Linked DNA regions of Drosophila melanogaster. The protein of the gene in region 1 interacts with the protein of each later gene in a pairwise test. Each region holds a gene or a part of one and is shown in the gene's direction. Other genes may lie near its edges.

Region 1 (6,436 bases):
GAAGGGAGTGTATACACATACATATGAATATCACACATTTCACCGGAAAATGCGGTCAATTAGAATAATACATACAGCGAATTGAGCCTGTGTCTGTGAATTAGTGAATGAATTGAACAAAGCATTGAAAATCAATACGAAACCTGCCGCCGCTCCCACTTTTGTACATACAGTAATGCGTCGGTGAAGTAATACTCGATTGCGGGAAATCTGGAACATATACTAAGTTCAATCATTTGAAATTGGTTAGATTATTAATTTAAATAATTGCCTAAAGAGCTTCAAGGATGTTATTTTCAATTAGATTACTTATTTGAGGGTCCACTGTATATCCGCGCTCGCACATTACTGTGAAGCCTCACCTGTGTGAGTGCGGCTTATAGGCGACGTGTGTGTGTGTGTCTGAGAGAGGCTCGTGGAATATAAACAGCGCACAGTGAGAGAGGAAAACGGAAAACAGGTGGAAAAGAAAGCTTAAAAAATGCGGTCGGTCAAAAACTAAAGTTGCAGCAACAGGCGAGGGGGTGGCGGGTGCCGGGGGGCTCGAGACACGGAGACAAATACCTTTTCAAGCCGCACACACCAGCGCAAGCAAAGACGTCAGCTTATCTGCCACGCATGCGCGCGAGGGGGACGACAATAGTGTGGATCGGGGTGTCGATGTCTCTCCACCCCCCTCCAGCCCACCACCATCTAACGAGCGGGTTTCCACCCAAAGAACAGCAAAAACAACTATTGTCATTTGTTGTTTTGCCATTTGCTTCGTAAACCAAAAAGTATGCGAGATAAAATAAAAAAGCAAGTGTACCGCACGCCGCCGTTTTATCTAAATCCCAGCTGTCTGAATTATTTGAGGCTCTAACACCCCATCTCACGCTTATCAGGACCCAATTAATTATCTTCACCTGAATGGAAGCTATGCTTGGGGCATGTCTCCAGGTTTATGGTTCTTGTCGGGGAGTTCTTAGATACCAGTGCAGTTATGTATCTTAGATTGCCTTACCGAGGCTTATAATTTTCCCCTATTTACAGATGCATAGATACATATGTGTGGATTGCAAATATTTCAAGATTATAGAAGTACAAAAGTAGTAATACTTATATTATAAACATATATGTATTTCATTTAGCATAATGTTTTTGTAGATGTTTATGATGACTTAACTTAACTTCAAATCACCCAGCAGCTTTAGTACTTTCTCTAAAGCATGATTTATGCAAGCCCAACTATTTCCATGTTACCCAAGTGCGATAATGTTTATCGCGTTTCGTCATTGGCCTCTAAGCTGCTGTAGAGTTAGGAGCGAAAACACAAATCTGTCAAATTCCACAAGTGTGATGCAATTTGGGGCTTGTACGAACAGTAAAACGCTGAAATATAACACAGCGGCGCAACTTAACGAAAACAAAACATTTCCAGGGGTGTAGTGGGTCAGTGTTTTCTTTTTTACGTGCACTTCGCTTGTTTGTTTACTGCGATTTTGGCTTGTACAAGATCGTAAGCAGATAGTGCCTCCAGCTGACCCCCTCTGCAGTTTCTCTTTCACCTGTTTGCAAGTACACAAGCACCCAACACCCCCTTTCCCCTGTCCATTGACCCTGCGACACTGCTGGATTGATACACTGAAAACAATCGACAAACTTGGGGGTGTTTCTATCATGGAAAATGTTGTTAACATTTAAAAATGGTTAGAACTACATTCTAGAGACTTTCTCGCCATAGGATTATTATAATGATTTTCAATATCTTTATAAAAACAGTAGCGATTTTTGCTTAGTGTAGATAGGTATGCGACACCGCTGCCCGCGTCGCAGTCGGCGTCTGAGCCCAGCCTAAAACAGCGGAAAAGTTGTTGCTGTCACTTGAGTCGAGGGAGCGGTTTGGATAGAGTCTGCGAGGGTTAGAGCGAGAGGGAGCGAGAAAGTGTGTTTGCAAATCTCAGTTTTACGTGTGTGTGTGTGTCTTTTGCAGGTGTGTTCACTGGCTACACAGAAAAAATAAGAGAGATTTATCCGAGTGTTGAAAAGAATGTTACTGTGACATAGAACCATAGTTGGCCTAATTTTTGAAGATAAGAGCTATTACTCTACAATTACTCTCTATTACATCTACAATGCAATACAATTTGCTGCTGTTAATACAAATAAGATGAATATAATCGGAAGTAAACTATCCAAAGATATTCTCTGTGTAGTCAAAGTGGAGACACCGAGCTTAGAGGAGAACCTGGGGAAGTGGAAGTAGCGCGATTTTTGAATTCCAATGCTGATCCAAGCCAACAACGAAATGTTAAAGTTTGAGAATAATTGCGGCCATGTGCGGATCGCTTGGAGTGTGTATGCCAACGCTAGTGGAGGCTTGGAATCGGAATGCGGTCTGAGTCAGAGACGATTGGCTGCGCAATATCCAAGTGGCTTGGCGGGATTAGGGGCCTTCGGATGCAGAGGGACTTAGTCTCAGCTGCACAAAATAAACACAGCATAATGATCTAACACATACTTTAGGACCAATTTTCGTATTCGACACTCATAAGATTTCAGCTCGAAGACTCGGTCAGCGGAGGCTTTAAGGTCTTGAGAGACCAAATTGGGAACCAGACTTCCAAGGGGCTTAACCACACCCCTGCCAATAGGAAATTTAGTTTTGGGAATACTATTCTAATCAAGTTAAACATGTTTTTCGACAGCAGTCACGATATAATGTTTTAGTCATTGGAATAAGCGATTAAATGGGATTATTAAAAGCATACACATAATTCTAAATATTATTTTCAAATGACGATAGTTCAACTCGACCTAAGAAGCAAAAGTATAAGTTGGTAACGATCAAAACTTTTAATCAATGTTTAAGCTACTAAGTTCATCATTTAAACGGTAACTTATATTTTAAACGAATCAAAGACCGATATACAAAATTGTTGACGATGATGATGATGTGAAAAAATTTTATTTTTAGACGGAGCTTCAGACGTCGATCGAAGCCTGTACCGGGATTGGGAGACACCATGGTGAACCACCACTCGAACGGAGGCGGCAGTGCTGGAAACAGTAGCGGAAGCCTAAGAGGAGGCGGTGCCCATGGAGGCGGCGGCGGAGGAGGAGACTATTCCGGAGACGATCGCAGCGGAGGCGGCGAGGAGCGGGAGCGTCTGGAGAGTGACTTGCACGACAAGCCCACCTACCTGCTGGAACACCTGGCCACCTTCACGGTCAACAAGGAGTCCGGCATTGTGTATCCGGCGGACGGAATGCGTCGCCTCCTTCAGCTGGAGAAGACCACGGGTATTTGGTCGCAGAAGATGCAGCTCTGCCTGGACTATCAGTGGGTGCTAATTATGGACTATGAAACAGGGGTACGTTTCACAAACTGGGAAAGATCCTTATGGAACTCATCTTCATCCTTGCCTTACAGAACATAATCGAAAGATTCCCCGCCTCCTTGGTTCAGGAGCCCACCGCATTCACCTCGAATGACGCCATGGAGCTATACAACAACATTCTGGTCTTTATCGTATCCGGAGGCGGTGGTTCTCGCTCCGAGATGCACATATTCCAGGTGAGAATTAGTGAGGCTTCTGTCTCATGACAGTTTCATTCAAATGATTTATCCCTGCAGTCACAAAGTGTGTCCGCCGTTCACCTGGTTGAGGATCTGAAGCAGCTGAGAAGCGGCAAGATGATAACGCAGCAGCGCGGTGCCACACCCACTCAATCAGGAGGCGGAGGAGCCTCCAGCATGGCCATGATGATGAGCAAAACCTCCTCGTCCTCGTCGCATAGTAGAGTGGAGCTGCACCAGCACAGGGAGCAGCGGGCAGAGCGCGAGAGGGAGCGTGATCGAGACCGTGAGCGCGAAAGCCACCATCACATGCACCAAAGGAGCAGCATGGAACAGTATGGAATCCGTGCCGGAGTAGGAGTTTCTGGCGATGACGTTGCCCACATTAGTGGCGAGACGGATTCGGAACACGGTGGGATTGGGGGCGGTGGCGCAACGGAGCGCGATGAGACTAGCTCCACGTCCAGCGAGAAGTACGAGCGGGATGTGGCTGTGCTGAATCACTGTTTCGATGACATCGAGAAGTTCATAGCTCGTCTTCAGCACGCCGCCGCCGCTTCCCGGGAGCTCGAGCGCCGTCGTCGCAATCGGAAGTCGAAGAAAAGGGATCCGGGGGAGGGATTGCTCACTTTGAGGACACGGCCTCCCCACGAGAAGGAGTTCGTGGACATCTTTGCCAAGTTTAAGCTGTCATTTAACCTGCTGGCAAAGTTGAAGGCGCACATCCACGATCCCAACGCTCCCGAACTGGTGCATTTCCTCTTCACGCCGCTGGCTCTGATTGTGGAGGCCTCCAGCGACACGTACTACGAGTCACAGCTACCGGCCCGTGTGGTTAATCCCCTGCTGACCAGAGAGGCCATCAACCTGCTCATCAACTGTGTAACCAGCAAGGAAACGGAGCTGTGGCGCTCGTTGGGCGATGCCTGGGTGATCCCGCGAGATCAGTGGAAGGATGACGTTGGATCCTACCATCCGGTCTTCCTCGATGGCTGGTCACCGGACTATTTGATCAACGATGAACTGGAGCCACCACCAAATTCCCCGCCCGCTCATGTGAGCAAGCGCAGACTCGAGGTCCAGGCTGGATCCGGACTAAATGGTCGTGGGGGAGGCGGATACGATGACTACGACTCGGGGAACGGGATGAACATGGCCATGGGTATCGAGAAGTACACCATCCACCACGGCAACGACGGTTTAAGGGAGCGGGAAAGGGAGCGCGACAGAGAGCGGGCGGGCGCAATCAGTGCGTCTGACTTTAACGCCCGCAGCGAGCTGTCGTTCGACTCGATCGAAGGCAGGGGCGGCGGAGCAGCGGGACATGGCCATGGTCATGGCCACGGACCAGGAGCTGGACCAACCCTTAGCGCCATCACAGCTGGTCTGCAGAATCTGCATACGAGGGAATCTCGCAGTGGAAACGGGTACGGAGCAGGAGCTGGTCCGGGGCCTTCGTCGGAGTTGGGCGGTGGAGGCAGAGGCCTGCCGAATGTCAGCGACGACCAGATGCTCGAGTCCTGGCTGGAGGATCTGCAGGCGACGGGCGCTAAGATTGTGCTGGTCACCTATCCGCGAACCGCCAACAACGACAAGGAGCTTAGCGTGATGCGAGGCGAATACTTGGAGGTAAGGCCAGCACCCACGTTACCATCCTTCGTTCTGTCCTATAACCATCTCTTCGAAACTTTAGATCCTTGATGATACCCGAAAGTGGTGGAAGGCGCGCAACATGCGGGGTCAGGTGGCCCACGTGCCGCACACGATTGTAACCCCCTTCAATTTCGGGGATGGAGATGGAGCCCAGTTCTACGGGCAACAGCAGCAGCCACCGACGGGTCCCACAGGTCCGGGCAACAAATCGCGATCAGGGGTGAGTAAGGCTGGTCACTCAATTCATGATGGGACTTGCTAACCGCTCTACATTACCCAGGATAATCCCGGCATGGAACAGCGATCGCCGGATCCCACCGACATGATGCGCAGCAAGCATCTGGGCAAGAAGGGCGAGTTCCGCTACTTCTAGGATCGAGATGCGATCACCATATACATATACACATATTCCGTAGTGAGGATCTAGCGTTATAGAGAGACAGACATCAGCAGTTCCGTCTAGGATGCTAGTCCTGGTCACTAGCGATCGGATTGGCTCCAATACCTTGCACTCGCTCGCAGGAGTGTGCAAACCAGAACTAACCTTAAGACTAACCTAAGTGGAGCTCCAGACGGGAGCTGTTGAGCAGCACGTGGCTCCTGCTGAGGCGGATGCTTAAGCTGATGCTCATCCAGGCGAAAAGGGGAGGCGACGGCAATAATTTGTTTTAATAAAATTATATCCAAAGGAACCTGCCTATTGGTTGATGATTATTGAGGAGATTGTAGTTTGGAGAGCTGCTTTGCTTTATTTGGATGCTCACAAGAAGAAGTTAACTGGTGCTGTACGGTGATCAAAGCCAACGATTGAACAAAGAGCATACTACGAGAACTCGAATCGATTAAATGATGGACAACTTCTCCACGCGGGCCAGAAGCGGAGAATCGGAGTGGTACTCCAGGCTCCGCACGGCGAAGTCGCCCACTTCGTTGGTGAAGCACTTCAGAGTGGATATGGAGAAGGGGCGTCCGGGAAAGTTGTAGTAGGTGAAGTACTGCCCGTTGACGGCGATCAGGAAAGCCCGATCCCCGAGCCCAAAAGCGATCTTGAAGAGCTTTCCGCGCACAAATGGGAATTCGCCCTCGGTCTCCTCGTCGCTCAAGGCAAAACTAGAATAAGTGAGTAAAGGTGAATTCTCTTGGAGGAACTTTGCATATTGGAGTCTCGGACTCCTTTATACCTGTTGTCTTCACGCTGGTAGCTGCGTGACACGGTTGTCCGAT
Region 2 (3,106 bases), on another chromosome or scaffold:
GAACATGCGGTTCAGAAAGTCAATGATGGGGCACTCGTAGCGGTGATAGGTTTGCATGGCAATCGACTTGCACTCCTCGGAGCAGAACATCGTGGAACAGCAGCTGTCGCAGGGTATGAGGGTCAGATAGTTCTCCCGCTTGCAGGTGGCACACCGAATGTATCGCATCGGCGTCAGCAGTGTGGAGCAGAAGGGCTCCTCCACGGACACAAGATCCCCAACGGCCAAATCCCGATTGGTCACCACAAAGCGACCCTCGGCGGCGGTTTCGCGCAACTCCAAACAGTCGGCGATGAAGGGCACCTGGGCATGCGGTTCGAAACTGAGCTTGAACTCATAGGGCACCACATCCGGCGGTTGCTGATCGAGTAGCTGTTGGCAGTCCCTTTCTCGCTTGTCTAGTTTGTGGCTCAGTCTCGCCGGATAGTTGGCCTGCCTTGCCAGCTTGATATTGTCCAGGCATTGCCGATAGCGCTTCCACTCGAATAGTACCGCCGACCGATTAGCATAGCCGATGGACAGGTGCTCCGAATTCGGTTCGGCATAACAGATGCTTTTGTTGTACAGCTCTAGAGCCTGAAACGAGTCGCAGGGATTAGCTTAAGTTTGCCGATTGAGGGGGCAATGATTACCTGGAAGTAATTCCTGTTCTTGAGCGAAAACTGCTCGTTGCCCAGCATACGGAACTCCACGCTCCGCTTGTTGCACTTGTCCTCTCGAAGCGTTACATTCAGGAATATCTTTTCAATGTACTTGAAGTCAATAAGAGCGCGCATCACGAAGTCAACCTTGCGATGGTTCTCCTTCAGCTCGTTGAACTTGCCGGATATGATGCCGATTAGTTTCCAGTCCTGCAGCTTCTTTATCAGATCATCGCTCACGTCGTACACGTCCATCTCTTGTGCGGGGTAGTTTCGGAAGTCCTTAGTGTCCTGGAATTTTCTCCGGATCGGATTAGATCTGATCGGATGGCTTCGGATCCTTTGGTTCGGTCCGCGTGTCGACGCCGCCGCCTGTTTTTTTCAGCCGGAAAAAATGTTCTTTTGGCCCACTGCCGGTGCCGCGATTTCTTTAACTGGCGCAAGTGCTGACCGCTAATTAGCGATTTCACGGGCGATTACTATTCGGAAATATTCTAATTATGCACACGGCGATTTTAATGTTATTTTTTTGACGATTCCGCTGGAAGCAGTGTGGAGTATAGCCTGCGAATATATAACCCAGCACAGAGGGAAATGTACTAAAAAATGCCGCAAGTTGACTGCTTGCACTAGCCGCGACACAAACCCTTGGCCTAGCTTAAAATTGTTTACAAAAATATTTGAAATTTGAAATTCATTAAATAAAAACAGGATAAAAACTAACTATAAAGGCAGAATTTTGTAGGTTTCTGTTTAAATAATACAACGCCCAGCACGCTTGAATTGTGCCAAAATATATATGTTTAAAAAAAATATATATATATACATTATAAAAAAATATAACTGAGCTTTTGTTTACCGCTAGCTGTCACAGTGTCTCCACACCATTAACTGTAATAGGCGCCATCTTTTAAAGCCATTCCGAGTATGTGCACACTGGCGGCCGTTTCACTAACAAATTTCCTCTTCAAATCGTACGACGTTCTAGTTTTCTAAGAATCCGGGGAATTATTGGCAGCCAAGTTCTTTATTTAACAAACGCTCTGTTCTCAGGCGGCCGCCGCACCAGTCCGGTTCAAGTTGAAGGCAAGGGAATATTATTTTTAGCCAGTAGGCCACAGCTAAGTGACATCGTGTTGTGTCTAAAAATTTTGTTTGGCTGCGTCTGCAAATAAATCAAACCGATTTCGTATCAAATCTTGGGATCCAAATCAGCAGGAGGTGTGTACGAATAAAATTGAAAATATAGATATAAGCAAAAATAAAAATTTTTACGCAGAGATGCCCATCATTCGGCTGGAGTCTGCGGACAAGGAGATCTTTGACACGGATCAGGAGATCGCCAAGTGCTCGGAAACGATTCGCATTGCAATAGAGGATTTGGGCGATGAGAGCGACAACAGTGTGCTGCCGTTGCCGAATGTCAACTCGCTGATCCTGAAGAAAGTGCTCCACTGGGCCACCTATCACAAGGACGATCCTGTGGTTACCGAAGAGGTTGAGAACAAGGAGAAGCGCACTGATGACATCTCATCCTGGGACGCTGACTTTCTCAAAGTCGACCAGGGCACGCTGTTCGAACTGATCCTCGCGGCAAACTACCTGAATATCCAGGGTCTGCTCGACGTCACCTGCAAGACGGTGGCCAATATGATCAAGGGCAAGTCGCCGCAGGCTATTCGCGACACCTTCGCCATCCAGAATGACTTTCTGCCACAGGAGGAGGAACAGGTGCGCAAGGAGAACGAGTGGTGTGAGGATAAATGAATACCATCAACTTACCATGACGAAATTAAAGCTTAAATTTTTTGTTTAATCAACATTTCAATTGAGATAGTTAGCTGATCATGTTAAGAGTCAGCAATTGTTCTGTTGGGTTAATTAAATAAAATATTATGCTTTAATGTTGGCAAGTGCTCTTTAACAAAGGAATTAATGACAAACCGTTTAATGTAATTTACAGTGTTCTTCAATTTGGAATTTATATTTGATTTAGTTAATGTAGTTTAAAGGCCGTGGTCCCGATGGCATTCGCCAGATTGGTCACTTCACCCGGAATAGCTAACAGATGTGATGTCGACGGAGCCCAAAGCTAGCAGCAATCGGATGACGAAGAGGGCGATAACCACTTTGAGGACGATTCGCACGCAGGACAGCAACAGTCGGAAGCCGAAAAGTATTGCGTAGCACGTAGCCCCCAGGAACACCACGTATGTGATCAGATCGCCCAGAACAGAGTACATGGACGCGTTCCTGTAGACACATTCAAGGAACTGCGTGCCGCATTGTTCGCCATGTCCCCAGCCGTATTGCTCCCGTCCGTTGCCAATACTGCAGCTTTTCTCCATGTTTAGACTGACGTATATGCTGGATAAGCCGACAAATGGGACATTTCCTTTGTCCAGTGTGCAAAGCAAATCTTCCAGTTGGAAAAAATCAGCTGTCTAGTGTGACCGCATTTCGAT
Region 3 (3,860 bases), on another chromosome or scaffold:
CAAGGTCAGTTAATAAAGTTGATTTTTGCTCAATACGCAATAGCGCAAAAATGTGCAAATAAAAAATATAAACACTAACAAGTGGCAAGCGAAAATACAAAAGACAACAAGCGGCAATTAAAAAAGAACCTTTCATGAAGTTGTTTTTGTGATCTCTCAAGATCGCGTTAAATAAAAACTTATCAAATGCACAATATTATGATAAAATGTGGTAATAAAACATAAATGATGTTGGCAATGATTAAATTTACTTCTCTATAAATCAAAAAGAACATAAAATGAGCATTTGGTTTGTATTATAAAGTCTCTAAATCTATTCGAGCGAACGATACCATATTTTCATAGTTTGCGATACTCATAAGATCACATTGGAAAACAAGTGTATGATTTCCCTTGCACACTTGCTGTCAATTGAATTGAACGTTCTGCCATTTTGCAACTTTCTTATAGAGAACATGGCCGTATCATTCCCTATTTCCGCCACTGTACTGACTGTTTTGTATTTTGTATGGTAATTGAAAACTGCGCATTCATTGATGACGGATGACGTCGCAGCTTTGACAGTGGCATTGAAAATTTCAGTTTCGCAAGCAGACTGCAGTAAACTGGTGACCAGTCGGCAGCAACAACAACAATGATAATGAATGCAGGAAGAACAAGAACAAGAAGACTACAATAACGATACTATATACCATGTATGTACATATATATATATATATATATATATAACAAAGGAACTGAATGGCCGGCATGAATTTCACTTAATAATGTGTTGCCCGAAAAACGTTTTTTTCCTCTGCATCTATGGAATTTCATCTTTCAAATAACTCATCTTGAATCTTAAATCAATTATGCGGATAGCATGTTTTCCCTGACTTTTATGCGTAATTTCAACGAAGAATTTGAATTCTCTCACGGAATAAATGTTAGTATATTCAGTGTAAATGAAAAATACGCAAATATCTATTATAGCGCTATCTATGTATCTATGAATCTGTATCTACAGATCGTTGCAATTGTTGATATTACTTCCGCCAGGTGGCGTTTTCCCCACCGCCAGTTAACTGCATTCATGGTTTCTGTTTTCCGCACACTTATTTATTTGGCCGCACTGATTAGAGACTGGAATCACAATAATAATAACCAAAACAAATGGCAGCACGTGCTTAGCATCTGGTTTGTTGTGATAAAGTGCGACTTTTCCCAGCCCACCCACACCTATGCCGCTTTCTACCCTTTCTCCGCTCGCCACACGTGCTTGCTAGTCAGCTAACCAGCTAGCTAGTTAGTCAGCTAGCCGCTAGCTAGTTAGATACTTAGTTAGCCAGCCAGTTGGCTGCGTCAGCGTCGCAATTGCGCCGCAATTGGGCACTAATGAAGTATTCTTGATACGCATTTACACTGCATTGGGCAAAGGGAGAAAGAAGGTGCGAAAGGTGAGCAAGGTGCGAAAGCTGCCAACTGAGGTGCTGATTACCCATCGCTATGGCAGCCATTTATCCTGCAGGACAATGGGAAATGGGAAAGCTGGAAAAGCGCTGGTGGAAAAGTATGGGCAACCACTCAGCTCAATTAAAAAATCGTTAAAGGGCAAACAATTGCTTTTCCGTTTCACAAATACGTTCTAGCTCTTTTAGACGGTAAGTTAAGGGGTTCCCATCATCAATTAAACTGATACTATGCGAAAGTACTAGAAAGCCAGCCAACTGTAAAGAATCGCAAAATACCCTGAAATATGTATATATTCTATGGAATATCTAGTAGTTTTGAAAGCAGCAGCCTGAGTCGCTTTCCTCAAATTCCGGATTCAAAATGTATATATTTCCACCATATACCCTGCTCCTTATCATCCTCCGCATTGTGAGTGTCCGTGCGATGAGCTTCGACCAGCCCCACAACGAACACGACGCCTCCCTGGCTAGCTATTTGGACAACACCAACGATGACATATCTCCCCAGGGCTTCAACGGCGATGGGAATGGTAGTTCGGGGGCCACAGTGGTGCCATTCCCTTATCTGGGATGCACCACAAGACCGTCCTACCAATCTGGATGTGAAAGCATGGACGAAAGCGCTAGGGACCGAGAAAAAGATCGCAATATTGATCGGGATCGAGGCCGAGATTGGGATCGAAATAGGGGTTGCGATAGAAACAGGGATCGGGACAAAGACAGGAATAATATTAGAGATAGGGACAACTGTGACTCCTGTGACGAGATTATCAATTCGCGGCTGAAGGCCACCCACATTGCCCAGAATGCCGCCCAGGTGGCCAAGGCAGCCAATGATGCACAGGCGGCCGCCGCTCAAGATGCATCGCGGCAGGCGAAGATGCAGCTGGCGGAAAAGGCCATCTCCGCTGCCCGTGCCGCCGATGCGGTGCTCGAGGGCAAACAGGCAATGGTGGACAACTACGCTAGGGAGATCCGGGATGCCGAGGAGGTGGTCGGACAGGTGAGCTGCTCGCTGCAGAACAGTGAGACGAACGTGGAGGCCTCCTGTGCCGTGGTCAAAGCAGCGGAGGTTCAAGCCGAAACATTCAGGTATAATTGATAAATATTCAATATTCAATATTGTTCACAATCCATCCAACTATCTACACAATTTAAAAGCGGAACAATTATATCGTTATATCTATCATAATATCTACCAGCGATAACATATCGATTTTTAATATCAATGCTTTTTCGATTACTAATGTTTTCAGGGCCCTCGTACAGCAGACGAGTGGCATTTTGTCGGAAATGGACAGCCTAATCGACCAGTCGAACATGGATATCGAGGAGAAGAACCAAATGCTGGCGGCGGCGAAGGCACGTGGTGACCGCCTGGCCCGCCAGGTGGCGCAAGCTAAGTCGGAGTACGAGCAGGTGAAGGAGGCGGCCTGTCGCGCCGCATCCGCCGCCGTGGAGGCCAAGCAAAAGGTCGGCACCGGCAGTTTGCTGTACAAGTCGTCGGTTCACCGCCTACCCACTGTCGCCATAAGGGCCAATGGAGCGCGCGGTTACGCACTCGACAGGAACACCTGCAATGCTCTCCTGGATCTCTACAGGCAGCGCCGACGGCAGCAACAGCGAATGCGGCGGGAGAAAATCCTGAACGGACTGGATCGCTATCAAGGGAATTCACTGTACGGGGATCACTCGTACTAACAAATGCGCTCCCTACTAACGGATGCTACGTCCACAATTCTGTTTTTCTAAACGCTGCAAATTATTTTAACTCTATTTGGATAAGAGTTTCGAGATTTTTCAACAATTTCAGTTTCACTTTTTGAGCGTAAATATGAAGTATTACCTAAATGCGAGTTGTATAATCCTTGTTTTCTTGTTAATTTATTTCCTACTTTTAAGATCGTACTAAATAGCTTGCACATATCATTACAAATCATTAATGTATTGTCAGTTATGTACATATTAAAGATCTTCCCCGTATCGAGTGACCACCGTAGCTGCTTCAATACACAATTGTTTACCAACAAATTCGCCTGACAGTGTCGTAATTCTTGCGAAATAAACAATAACAATGGGAAATGAGTGCAAGGCCAAGACGCAACGAAACACGATCGCAAAGAGGAGAAGGAGAGTGGGAGGGGGAATAGAGAAGGAGATAGTGTGGAAAAGCCATCTTGTCCAGCGGAAGAACGAATGAAAATCACAGCTGCCAATGCGAGGCTGCCAGCTGTTTGGATTTTTCCTCCTTTTCCCTTATGTATTTGTTTTTTGGAAAAATTGTGGGCGGTTGGGTGTAAAAAGTGCAACGCAAGCAGGGTTGCCACCTTTTGCGGCTCTGTTGCGTCGTTGTTTTTATTGCTATTTTGGCGTCGCTTCATGGAACTCGAAACGGAAGAGAGTGAGAAG

What was found.
Region 2: the proteins of aru (region 1) and SkpB interact in a two-hybrid assay, tested with the Drosophila melanogaster proteins (one large-scale study listed by BioGRID).
Region 3: the proteins of aru (region 1) and CG12985 interact in a two-hybrid assay, tested with the Drosophila melanogaster proteins (one large-scale study listed by BioGRID).

Annotation. Positions count from the first base shown.
Region 1 is NT_033779.5:861,315-867,750, reverse strand, and holds aru (arouser), read left to right. Parts: upstream 1-1,889; 5' UTR 1,890-1,924; intron 1,925-2,690; 5' UTR 2,691-2,842; coding exon 2,843-2,874; intron 2,875-2,956; coding exon 2,957-3,353; intron 3,354-3,412; coding exon 3,413-3,556; intron 3,557-3,616; coding exon 3,617-5,188; intron 5,189-5,252; coding exon 5,253-5,432; intron 5,433-5,492; coding exon 5,493-5,585; 3' UTR 5,586-5,902; downstream 5,903-6,436. Other genes in the region: CG13950 (uncharacterized protein), read right to left, coding at 6,055-6,322, 6,394-6,436.
Region 2 is NT_033778.4:12,138,741-12,141,846, reverse strand, and holds SkpB (SKP1-related B), read left to right. Parts: upstream 1-1,617; 5' UTR 1,618-1,862; intron 1,863-1,920; 5' UTR 1,921-1,922; coding exon 1,923-2,408; 3' UTR 2,409-2,552; downstream 2,553-3,106. Other genes in the region: Smyd4-4 (SET and MYND domain containing, class 4, member 4), read right to left, coding at 1-576, 633-896; CG18343 (uncharacterized protein), read right to left, coding at 2,690-2,989.
Region 3 is NC_004354.4:17,881,933-17,885,792, forward strand, and holds CG12985 (uncharacterized protein), read left to right. Parts: upstream 1-1,785; 5' UTR 1,786-1,875; coding exon 1,876-2,543; intron 2,544-2,707; coding exon 2,708-3,152; 3' UTR 3,153-3,306; downstream 3,307-3,860.